Linked DNA regions of Drosophila melanogaster. The protein of the gene in region 2 interacts with the protein of the main gene of each other region in a pairwise test. Each region holds a gene or a part of one and is shown on either strand. Other genes may lie near its edges. The genes, in order: CG6398 and CG6664.

Region 1 (5,246 bases), on a different chromosome or scaffold from region 2:
AAAACCAGTTCGTGGGGTGGGTCTGCGGAGGGCGAGGGGCTGCTGTGCGATATAGGCGTGGATACGATCCAACGCCCCAAAGCCAAAGCCAAATGCTTTGGCCTAAGACAAAACCAAAAAACGACATGGCTGTGGCATGCCAGCCACTACAAGAGTACTTCGAACACGATGGACCCACCCAACGAGGAGCAGGATCGGTGGGGAAATCAAGAAGTAGATGGTGAAGCTAGTGGTCAGGGCGAAGATCTGGAAAATTCAAGGAAAAGGGCAGCCTGCAGGCTAAGAAAAGGAAGAATTAAACTCTAAACAGTATGCAATCTAATGTACATATACCAACAAGACATACAATTAAAGATAATATAAGATATAGGGGTATTTAAAGGAAAGTAACAACACAGAGCTTCCTTTTCCACCATAATAGTTTCCATTTGACTTCTTTCGAAGAAAACATCTGTAATTAGCTAAAGAAAGGTTGGAAGTGATGATATTCTGACACCATCATCATGATTCCCTCGACTGACTCCCCCGGATTCCCATTCTTTGAGTAGCGCTCATAATCGCTGTGGGTATTTAGTTCTCCACTCCCCTGGGGATGCACTTCATAGGACCCTAGGGTTTCCTGTGGCCAAGTAGCCCATCTCGAGTTACCTGCTGCACCTGAGCGGTTCTTCAAAGGCTCTTACAGGGGCGGAAATCGAAGGAGAACGGAGATATGGAGATGGAGGAGATGGAGGTGGAGGAGGAGGAGGAACAAGAAACGTGGATGGGGAGAAGGGAGCGATGACCCAAAATGGGGGAGGTCAAGGCAGACGATTGCTTCTAATGGCTTTATAAGTGCCCAGGCTCTGAAGACTTCGACGCTGGGCGAGATTCGAACGAATCTCACCGCAATTATCGTTCCCTCGATTCCATTGAAACTTTCGGATTAGGCGACAAAGTCGAAAAACGTGCAAATATTTTCAGCACACTTTGAGTGCTTTTCTTCCTCTTCTTCAGCTTTGTTTTTTATTGTTTTTTTTTTTGTTTAGCTAACTTGTTTTGGTATGATTGGTATGCGCACGCACACCGCCGCGATTTTACACCTATTTCTATAGAGCTCTCCGCATCTAAAATTCTCTCGGCTGCACCTACAAGACGGAGTTGGATTTTCTACAGTGCCACTTCATTAAGACAAACTGCTGCTTATTTGAAAGAAATTAAAACACACATATGCTGCGATTGCTTTCGGCCCTTTAAGAGGCGGATTATAACTGAGATTTCAGTTAGCTAGTTGTATTTCATAAATAGTGAAGTAACCAACATAAAATTGAAAATTAGATTACTTGGAAGAATGGGAAGTGTTGTAATCCGCAGTTTGACTGTATTTGCAATGCAAACTGTAAAATTGTGTACTCCTTCCACTTCACCGCCCCTTTCTTCTTTTTCTGCGGCCTCTTCTGCCTGGGCTCTTCTTCGTTTTTTCGCTTGGCTAAGCGCTCGCGTAGAAAGTTTGAACGTTAACGGCCGTTGCCCATCCTCCACAGGCCCCTCTCGATCAACACCGCACCACTCCCTCCCTTCTTCCCTACCCACCTCCTTCCAATGCCAGTTGTTCGTGTATTTGCTTTCGACCTTTCTTCTTCTCCGCCTTGCCCTTTTTCTTTTTCTTTCGGCCAAGCACAAAACGAGCGACTGTTACTGTTACCTCCGTTTGTTGCTGTTGCCTTCGTGGTTGCCTCTCCGCTCCTCTCCTCCCTTTTCACCTACTCCTCCTCCTGCTTCTTTTTTCTCGCCCTCCTACTCCGCACAGTGGGCCGCGCACACCTGTATGCAGTGCACAAATGTCAGCAAGTGCATCTTAATTACATATCTTGTTTATCTAAGCATCGCTATAGATAAGATTCTCGGAAGAGGACGGATTTTAAAAGATATGCAAAGATGTTTGTAGAACTAAATGTCTCCTACTATTATTAGTAAAATATAATACACATTATTCTCTGGACATAGTCGAACGGGCTTAATTCCTTGGAAATTATGGAGATATTCGTTCCGGTTTTAATATTAATTAAGTATGAAAACTTTAATCCTTATCGTATTTATTTACTATGCTTCCAATGGCATTTGTGAAATGAAGCCACTTATTTTCAAAATATATTTAATAATATAATATAGTACTCTGCTATACTTTCCAGAAGACGAAGTCCTAAACTCTAGCAAGTTATTTTCAACAACTAATATCTATTGTATAAGTAGGGCCTAAATTAGGATATTTTCAATTTCCCTACCCATTTTAAATATTTCCATTGTATCGTACCATTATATCGTTGTCTTGCACGACTTTGAACCCGATCTTTTCCGATTTCTTAAGCTATTGCCTAATCCCAGCCTGGATCTACTTTAGCCACATCTCTGGGACCAATGTGCAGAGCTCGTAAGCGGAGCTAAAGCTCCGTCTTAAGCGGGAGAGTCTTCGGCTTTGGTTGTAACTCTGTCTCTGGCTGTGGCTTCTGCCACGCAGTCGCAGATGCACCGTATATTTCGGTGGCGCTGGCTCTGGCCTTAGCTGATTATGTATTCCAAGCGGATGGGCCTTGGGTTAATTCGATTCGTAGCCCCCACCTTCTCTGGCACTGAAGACTAAAGACACTGTAGACTGCAGATTGAAGACTCACCTGTATCTGGTTGCGCCAGACATCGTAGTGCAGCCAATTATCCGTGGAGAAGGCGATCGCCAGCAGGGCGGTGGCGATGATCGCGCAGATCGTCGCTATAGATAGGGTTACGGCCGAGCAGGGCATGCTGGTGTTTTATTCCGGATCTGTTTCGAAATCTCAGCTATTTTGGGGCTATGATACGGGATTTATCCAACGAAAATCCCCGAGAAGAAAACAACAACTACAGTTGCTATTATTTTTCTTTCGTTTCGTGATCTCTAGCGTCTTCGACGTCTTCTTCTTCCGCAGCTAGATTCTGCCGCTTCTTCTTGAACTGCTACTGCTGCTGCACAAATACACAGTTAAAAGAGCAGCAACCAGTTTGGAAGGCACAGCAAAAAAAAAGCCAACGTTCGTTAAAAAAAATAATAATTTTAGCAACGGGCCAGCACTAACACACTGACACGGGCTCCACTGCACACGCTCACAACACTACACACACACACACGCACGCCGGCGAAGAATCTGAGCTGGAGAATTGAGAACGGAGAACTGAGAATCTGAATCTGGGCAGCAAAGAGACGGAGAACTGATAGCCAAGACGTTGTGATCGCAACAACGTTCGCCAGCGGACTGAAAATCGTCGGCGACTGAGCCAGACTTCAGGTAATACCAAATACCCATATACCATACCCATACCCATACCCATAGTCTCAAGTCGCAGTCGGCGTCTCAGTCGGCGTTTCATTTGAGCGCTTTGCAATGCAACCGGACTGAGGGGGGAGGAGAGTTAGGAGCAGGAGGCAAGGAGACGGTGCCTCTTCTACCTGCTGGATAAAGCAAAAACAAGAAAGGAGAGACTGTTTCGGCAAACGAACCATGGAATACCCTCACAGAATGCTTATATCTCTGCCAATTTGAGGCGAACTTGATATGATCTTTCATAAGCTCATTATACATTTATGTACGAAGTTTCAGATTTTCATATTCGATAACGTAAGATTTGTGTTAATTGTGACTTTATGTTAACGCATCTACAAAACCCAACACTGGATAATCCAGATAACAAAACGCGATGATAGACAAGGCAAATCATGATATCCCGTAAACACATATGCCCAGTTGAGATTTGCAGAAATAACGTTAGATATATAAGAGCTAGTAACCTTTTGTTAGGGTATACGAAAGGCAAACAACAACAAAGCAGCAGCCTGTTGATCTTTTCGTATGTTTGTTTGGTATTTGGTATGCGGTGCTGCCTGTGCAATGGAGTCCCAGTCCCACTGGGCAGGAAGGTAGGACGCGAGGCACACAGCCACATGGGCGTAGGCGGTGGGCTGGAACTCGAAGGGGGCGTTCGAAGGGGTGTGCTGGTGCTCCCATATCTCGACCGTATCGCAGTTATGCCACGCCAGATCGTAACTCTGTCAAAACTGAGCCACATATTTTATTAGCAAGATATTGGAATCAGGCTCCTAAAAACAAATACCCATTACACTGAAGGATCATAATTGGAGTTTCTGCGGAATGTGAATATCATTATTTGACACGTCAATATCATTGCCTGCACACCCATTTAAACGGTTTTGTTTTTGAGCCTGAATAAACATGCATGAATTTGCCTATATCTAAAATGGTTCATTTGAAAATCGACTTGTAAGAACAATGCGTCCAGCTGATAGAGAGTCATTAACTTCTGGGGCGAGAATTTTTTGTATATTCAAATGCCTAATCTGAAATTCCGCCCACATGAGTGCGATTAGTTCGGCCTTTTCCACCGCCCGCTGCTAATCAGGGCGCAGCCGATTTCTCGCAGTGTGCAATTGACCCAAAGATGCTGCGACTGCGCAGGTAAAAAATATATACACACAGACATCTCGTGTACGGACATATCCATATAGAGATAGGTGTTTGTGTTTGTGCGGCATTGGCATCTCGCTGCGTCTACTTGCTGTTGTTGTTGTTGATTTTCATCGGCTTTAATGCCTTTGTCTATTTTGGGTTTCTGTTTATGGCGTGGGTTTTTCTCAATTGCATTTTTGGGCGCGCTCTCGACTGCAGCAGCAAAAGCACAGTGGCGGGCAGAGAGATAGCAGCGTTTAAGAAATTAAGAAATATGCATATAGAAAATCGCCTAAAAACTGAAAGAATTTAATACCCTAAAGAGGTGCTGTTTGATTCATTTTTAAATGTATAAATTGGATACGCTTTGCTATTATTTTGTCCTATTTTTCATCTTTAACGTGATACACATTGATTATATTAGTTCTAGACCATGAAATTCCCAAATTTTAAAGACGTACGCTTTAAATGTACCATGTTAATTAGTTATTCTCTGGCAAAATGTAACAAAATTGGAAACTACCATATTGACGGGCATTGTAAGTGTCGTATGTGTGAGTGTGGAAATACCAGAATTACCTAAATAACAACAAGAATAGCCGTGCACTTATAAAGCAATGTTTGTAATCGGATCGCATTGGCATGTTGGCCAGTTGAGTTCAGTTCTCAATTGCTGGCCAAAAGTTTTTGGCCCCTCGAGTGTCTGACTGTCAGTCAGTCTGTCTCTTTCTGCGCCCCATTACCCCTCTCCCTCTCTCTCTCACACTGCTC
Region 2 (5,851 bases):
TTTGGCCAATACACACTTTTTTGTTGTCATTTATCATTGACTTCCCACTTCCTGCCCACCTATTTCACCGTCTTTCTCTCGGTTCTCAGATCAAAGTCAAGTCACTTATTTTAATTGAACACTTTGCGGCTTTGTTTGCTCTCGCTCGAGGTGTTACACTCCGCTTTTTGGCCTGGCCCAAAGGTTAGTCTTTGGTCTTAACGCTTCGCGCTGACTGTTTGGCCTTTATTTACAATCACAAACACAAACAACACAAGAGCATTTTGCAACGCGAAGTTAGCTGCAGCTGCGCGCCAGTGTGTGCACGCCAAGTGGCAGAAGTATGAAGGCAGTTTTAGGGGATACTTTAAGTGTTGCCCCACCATTTGTCGTGCATTTAACGGAAATTCGAAAATTCTTGTTCTTGTGGTTCGTCAAAAGAAAAAAATGTTATTTCTGAAAACATATTTTAAAAAAACCTATCAGATGATGTTTACAATTCATATATTGTAGTGTCTACAGTTGTACTTTCTACAATTTTGAAAACCTTGCACCTCGAATTTAAACAAAATTTAATTTAAAAAAATTCTGGACGAATTTTTATTTAATTTTAAATTGTTGAACTTTATTTTTGTTGGCTTACATAAACATACTTCAAAATTTTTTAGGCCCACATGCGAAGGAATTGTGGGAAAATGGTTTCGACATGAATAGAATTCACCCTTTTTATAAATTCATACGATCTGGTTAGCGTGTGCTGTCCATCCTCATTCTCATCCTCTATATCCTCCATATCTCATTATTAGCTGTGTTTTACTTAACTTTAACTGGAACCGAGCGAAATTAGAAAAACATTCAAATCTTAAACATTAGCGCTAAATATTCGTTCGCCTAGGAATTCCGTTATTGAAAGGTTTTAAGAGATTTTGATCAAATAGAACATACATATACATATTAACCATATATAAATGTGGCGACTTTGAGTCGCCCTGGAGAAGCTTACGATAGTTACTTTCTCATCTTTTGTTTCTGTGTTTTCTTATGTTTTTAGGATCGTTAAACTGGTTGCTTGCATGCGTGCGTGTTTATGAATATAGTGTGTTTTCGTGTGAAAGTGTGTGAATAAGTCATGATTTTTCTGTATCCCTGTGCGAGAGCTACTGCATCCTCCTAGTCCTTGCAGGTGGACGTGTCCATTGGACTGGCTGGCTGGATAAAGGCCGTGGCCGCCGAGCTGGGCGGATTGGTTGGCGTAAACGCCGACAGTGAGGAGTTGCTGCTGCTGTTAACAAGATTGCCGCTGGACGAGTTGTTCAGGCTGATGTTCATCAAATTGGACGACGACGACGAAGCGCTGGAGTGGCTAGTGAGCTGGGCCAGCAGACCTCCACCTCCACCGCCGGCCAAGAAGGTGGCACTGCCGCCAGCCGAATTTGACGAGCCAAGGCTTAGGCGTTCGCCTCCCAGATTCGAGAGAAAGCCGCCAGCGGCATTCCCAGCTGATACGGACGCGGACGATGAGGAGCTGCCGGTTCCCAAAATGCCCAGCAGTGGGTTGGTTGAGGTCAGCACGTTCGGTGCGGAAGTGTTCAGGCCCAGCATGGGCGTTGGCAGTGCTGGCTTTATGAAGCGTTCGCTGGCACGACGATTCTGAAACGAAGAATTTTTAATTTTACAAATCTGGAAAGCAACATTTCACAATATCGTACTCACCACTAGCTGGCCGCAGGCATAGCAGCGGTTTTGCACCGCCGTGCCCGGACTTAGAGGTCGGCTACTCGAGGGACTGTGGGAGACGGGACTGCTGATGGTGCGTTGACGTTGGGCGCTCACCGCTGAAGCTGCGGCGGCGGCTGCTGCCGTCGCTACAGCGAACGAACCGCCTCCCATCAGGTTCTCGTTGTAGAAGCGTTCCTCGTCCATCTCCAGCGAGGATTCCGATTCGGAGAGGTGCCGGCATAGGGCTTCGCGGCGCTCCACCTCCTGCTTTAGCTTGCGCTGAAGGCGAGCGTTTTCCTCGCGAATCGACTTCTCTTCCTGCGCATACTGCTGTGTTTTGATAGTGGCTTCCTTCTGAGCGCTCGCCAGGTCGGAGCGATAGCGAAGCACTTCGGAGCGCAGAATCTGGATATGAGCACTCAAACTGGTGGCCGTATCGCCACCATTGGCATGGGCGTTGTTTGTGATGTCTCGCGGCGTAGTCGGATCGGAAACCGGCTGATCCAGCTTGATTTGCAGCGAACGCTTCTCGGTCTCCAGCTTGTCCATGCGCTTCCACAGCTTGTTTACAAGAGCTTCCTGTTCCTGCTCAAGCGTGTTCTCCAACTCGACCATTTCGCGGCGCAGCTGCTCGAGATTGGTCTGCTTGTTGTCCGTCTCCGCCTGGAGCTTCTCAATCTTGCGCATAAGCTTGTTGACGAGGCACTCCTGCTCCTGCTCAAGTGTCTGCTCCAGCTTGCACTTCTCCTGACGCAGCTGGTCGAGCTTCCGGGAGAGATCGTTGGTCAGACACTCCTCCTCGCGCTCGTAGTGGTGCGCCAGAGTCTCCTTCTCCTTTTTGAGGGCCTGAATCTTTTTTAGCAGCGTGTTTGAGATGTATTCTTCCTCCTGCTCGGCTTTGGCTTGCTGTGAAAGTAAACAAAGGTAAATTGAGGCAACTTTTGTGAAACTCAATTTCAATTTGATATAACATAAAAGTAGTACTAACAATGATGACTGAGGCTTGCTTGAGGCAGCGATTCTCCTCTTGCACCACTTTGCACTTGGTCTTGAAGGTATCCAGTTCGGCTTTCAGCACCCTAGAAGCGTAGAGTCATATTATTTGTGGTAAAAATGCATTTTAAAAATAGTGTCTGACTTACTTGTTCTGCTGGGTGAGCGATTCGATCCTCTTCTGGAGTTGCTCCCGGGAAACTGGGCTTGGTGGCAGCATGGTGCCACCGTCCAGCGAACTTTCGGATTCACAGGGACTTTCCATGCCTGCAAAACTAAAGGTAAATGGCCCAGTGCCATTACGTTTTTTGAGCATATACATATATGTATGACGAGAAATAATGTATGCCAGTCGCTTTTTAAGCACATATATATTATACATATGTGCATGAGTACATATATATGTGGCGACTGGCTGTTCTTTATTCTTGAATTCGTCTGCGCCCCGTGAGGAACAAAGAATAAAGAAATCGGTCGGTGGTGGTGTTTGGTTTTGGCCCTGATCCGATGCAAAAGTTTAACCTTCAGCTGTGATTTTCTGTGCATCTGGCTTGATGCAATTTTTCGGAAATCGATAGAAGGGCAAGGTCGGCGAAGGAAGGGTTTGCACAGGCTGGCAGGCCATCGCCATCGCCACCACCACCACCCACAGCCCACCACTGCCAGTGACTTCCAACTCACATGTGGGATTACGCCTCCCCCTTTCAACCGGCTGAAAATGTCCGATTTTCCAGATTCTATCTTTGGTTACCTGGCTTTTGTGCGCTGTTTCGCCTTAAAAGACTTTTGCCTTCCGCCGCACTGCTCCTCCCCCCTCTTGAACACTCCTTCGCCGACTCTGTTTCACCAGGGCTCTGGTTGCCGTTCTTGCGTTTCACCTGCGCAGGTGAAAGGATGCAGCTGCGAACGGAGTAGAGTTGAACCTTAGGCGTCTGCTTAGGGCCTGCAGATCTGAGTGCGGTACATTTTGCCCGATCCGATCGAATAAAATTAAAGTCAAATTGCGAAAAATCCACAGTGCAGAAGTGTGACCGTATATGTGGCGAAATACCGAAAAAGCGCTCACAGCGAAACGCCGCGAGGTAGTGATGACACTTGAGGAAATACCAGTAGAGGTGGAAAACAATACAATTATGCTATTCAAAAATTGTATTACAATTTTATCAAAATATATCAGAAAATAGACAGATACGTTAATTTTGTAAGTTTCTTTCTTGTCGTTGTAAGGTGGAAGTCGAAATGTGTATTATTTGACATTTTACTTAAAAACGGTCATTACTAAATAAATTATTTCTTAATTTGTGTTTTAAACGTTTCTGATTTGTATACCATTTTTCATGAGTTTGACGATTGCGATTTTGGTTACGCTTATACGTGTTACAAACAAAGTGCTTATGATTCCTAGTAGCGTATAACATATGCTGAAATAAATAATACGTTCAAAACCATTACTTTACTCAATAGATTTCGTAGGCCGCAACAAACAAAATATAGTCAGTCTATCGTACTATTTATTTACGATATGTATTCAGGGCTGGATGAAACCAATTGATTTGGGGCTGTTTCATAATCTGGCAACACTGGCTCCACGTGCAGCGCGCAAACAGCGGATAATTTAATAATTTAATATATTTAAAGGCTGTAACAATGGCCGACGATGCCGGCCAGGACAAGCGAAAGCAGCACCGCGCCCGCCAGTCCGGCGTGAAGGCGGACAAGAAAAAGCTGAAGGCCAAGAAGGACTCCAACCAGAAGGAGCCCGAGTTGACCGCCAGGCAGAGGAATCCCAAGGCGTTCGCCATCAACTCGGCGCAGCGAGCAGAGAGGAACTTCCGGCGCAAGGAGGACCTTACGGCCAAGAAGCAGCATATTCCGGTTGTCGATCAAACTCCGAACGTACCGCCACCCGTACTGATTGCCGTGGTGGGACCACCCAAAGTGGGAAAGACAACGCTGATCAAGGACCTAATTAAAAGCTTTACGCGGACGAATGTCACCGATATAAAGGGTCCCATTACTATTGTGACCTCCAAGAAGCGCCGGATTACCCTGCTGGAGTGCAACAACGATGTGAACTCCATGATCGATGTGGCCAAATGCGCCGATCTGGTGCTGCTGCTCTGCGACGCAAGCTACGGCTTCGAAATGGAGATCTTTGAGTTCCTGAACATCTGCCAGGTGCACGGCATGCCCAAGATAATGGGCGTACTTACCCACCTGGACATGATCAAGAACCCCAAGCAGCTGAGGAAACGAAAGAAGGAACTGAAGCACCGCTTTTGGACGGAAGTCTACGATGGCGCCAAGCTATTCTACCTTTCTGGACTTCTTCACGGCGAGTACCTCCGGAACGAAGTCAAAAACCTGGGACGATTTATCTCTGTGATGAAGTTTCGCCCGCTGCAGTGGCGAGGTGCACATAGTTATCTGCTGGTAGACCGCATCGAGGATGTGACAAACACAGATCGCGTGCGCCGAGATCCTAAGTGCGATCGCGAGGTAGTACTCTATGGCTATGTCCGAGGAGTTCCTCTCAAGCAAGAACACATGGTGCACATAGCTGGCCTGGGGGATGCCCGCATCGACGAGTTAAACGTCATTCCCGATCCTTGCCCCCTGCCTGGGACGGAAAAGAAGCGAAGTTTGCTGGAGAAAGAGCGATTACTGTATGCACCCATGTCCGGAGTCGGTGGCATTGTTTACGACAAGGATGCTGTCTACATTGAGCTACAGGGATCGCACTCGCACAAGGAACAGGAGCAGACCGCTGAGGCTGCCGAGCAGGCGGAGCTGGTGAACAAGCTGATCGATAAGAAGGCCACCATTGATGAACAGATGGAACAGCAGGAGTTCCGTCTATTCTCAGATGCCAAGCCCATCAAGTCCAAGGACTTCCGCAATGATCAAGACGACGAAGAGGAGGATGAAGAGGCGGAAAGTAGTGAGAATGAGGATGACGATGGAGAGGACTCTGGTCTGGATGCCGCTGACAGTGAGGAGGAGCAGCAGGATGAGTTCGATGCGGACGATTGGCGTGGGGAGAACAGTGAGGAGGAGGAGGATGCTGAGGAAGACGCTTCTTCTGGCGATGAGGAATATCAAAGCCTGGGAAATGTGAAAACATCCAACGAATCCGATTCGGACGATGAGGAGGCTCGCG

What was found.
Region 1: the proteins of CG6664 (region 2) and CG6398 interact in a two-hybrid assay, tested with the Drosophila melanogaster proteins (one large-scale study listed by BioGRID).

What each region holds. Positions count from the first base shown.
Region 1 is NC_004354.4:17,828,852-17,834,097, reverse strand, and holds the start of CG6398 (uncharacterized protein), read right to left. Parts: upstream 3,271-5,246; 5' UTR 2,778-3,270; coding exon 2,652-2,777; intron 1-2,651.
Region 2 is NT_037436.4:17,012,301-17,018,151, forward strand, and holds CG6664 (uncharacterized protein), read right to left. Parts: upstream 3,881-5,851; 5' UTR 3,443-3,880; exon of another isoform or gene 3,373-3,442; intron 2,967-3,372; exon of another isoform or gene 2,959-2,966; 5' UTR 2,957-2,958; coding exon 2,841-2,956; intron 2,778-2,840; coding exon 2,687-2,777; intron 2,605-2,686; coding exon 1,693-2,604; intron 1,630-1,692; coding exon 1,150-1,629; 3' UTR 586-1,149; downstream 1-585. Other genes in the region: CG7728 (uncharacterized protein), read left to right, coding at 4,339-5,851.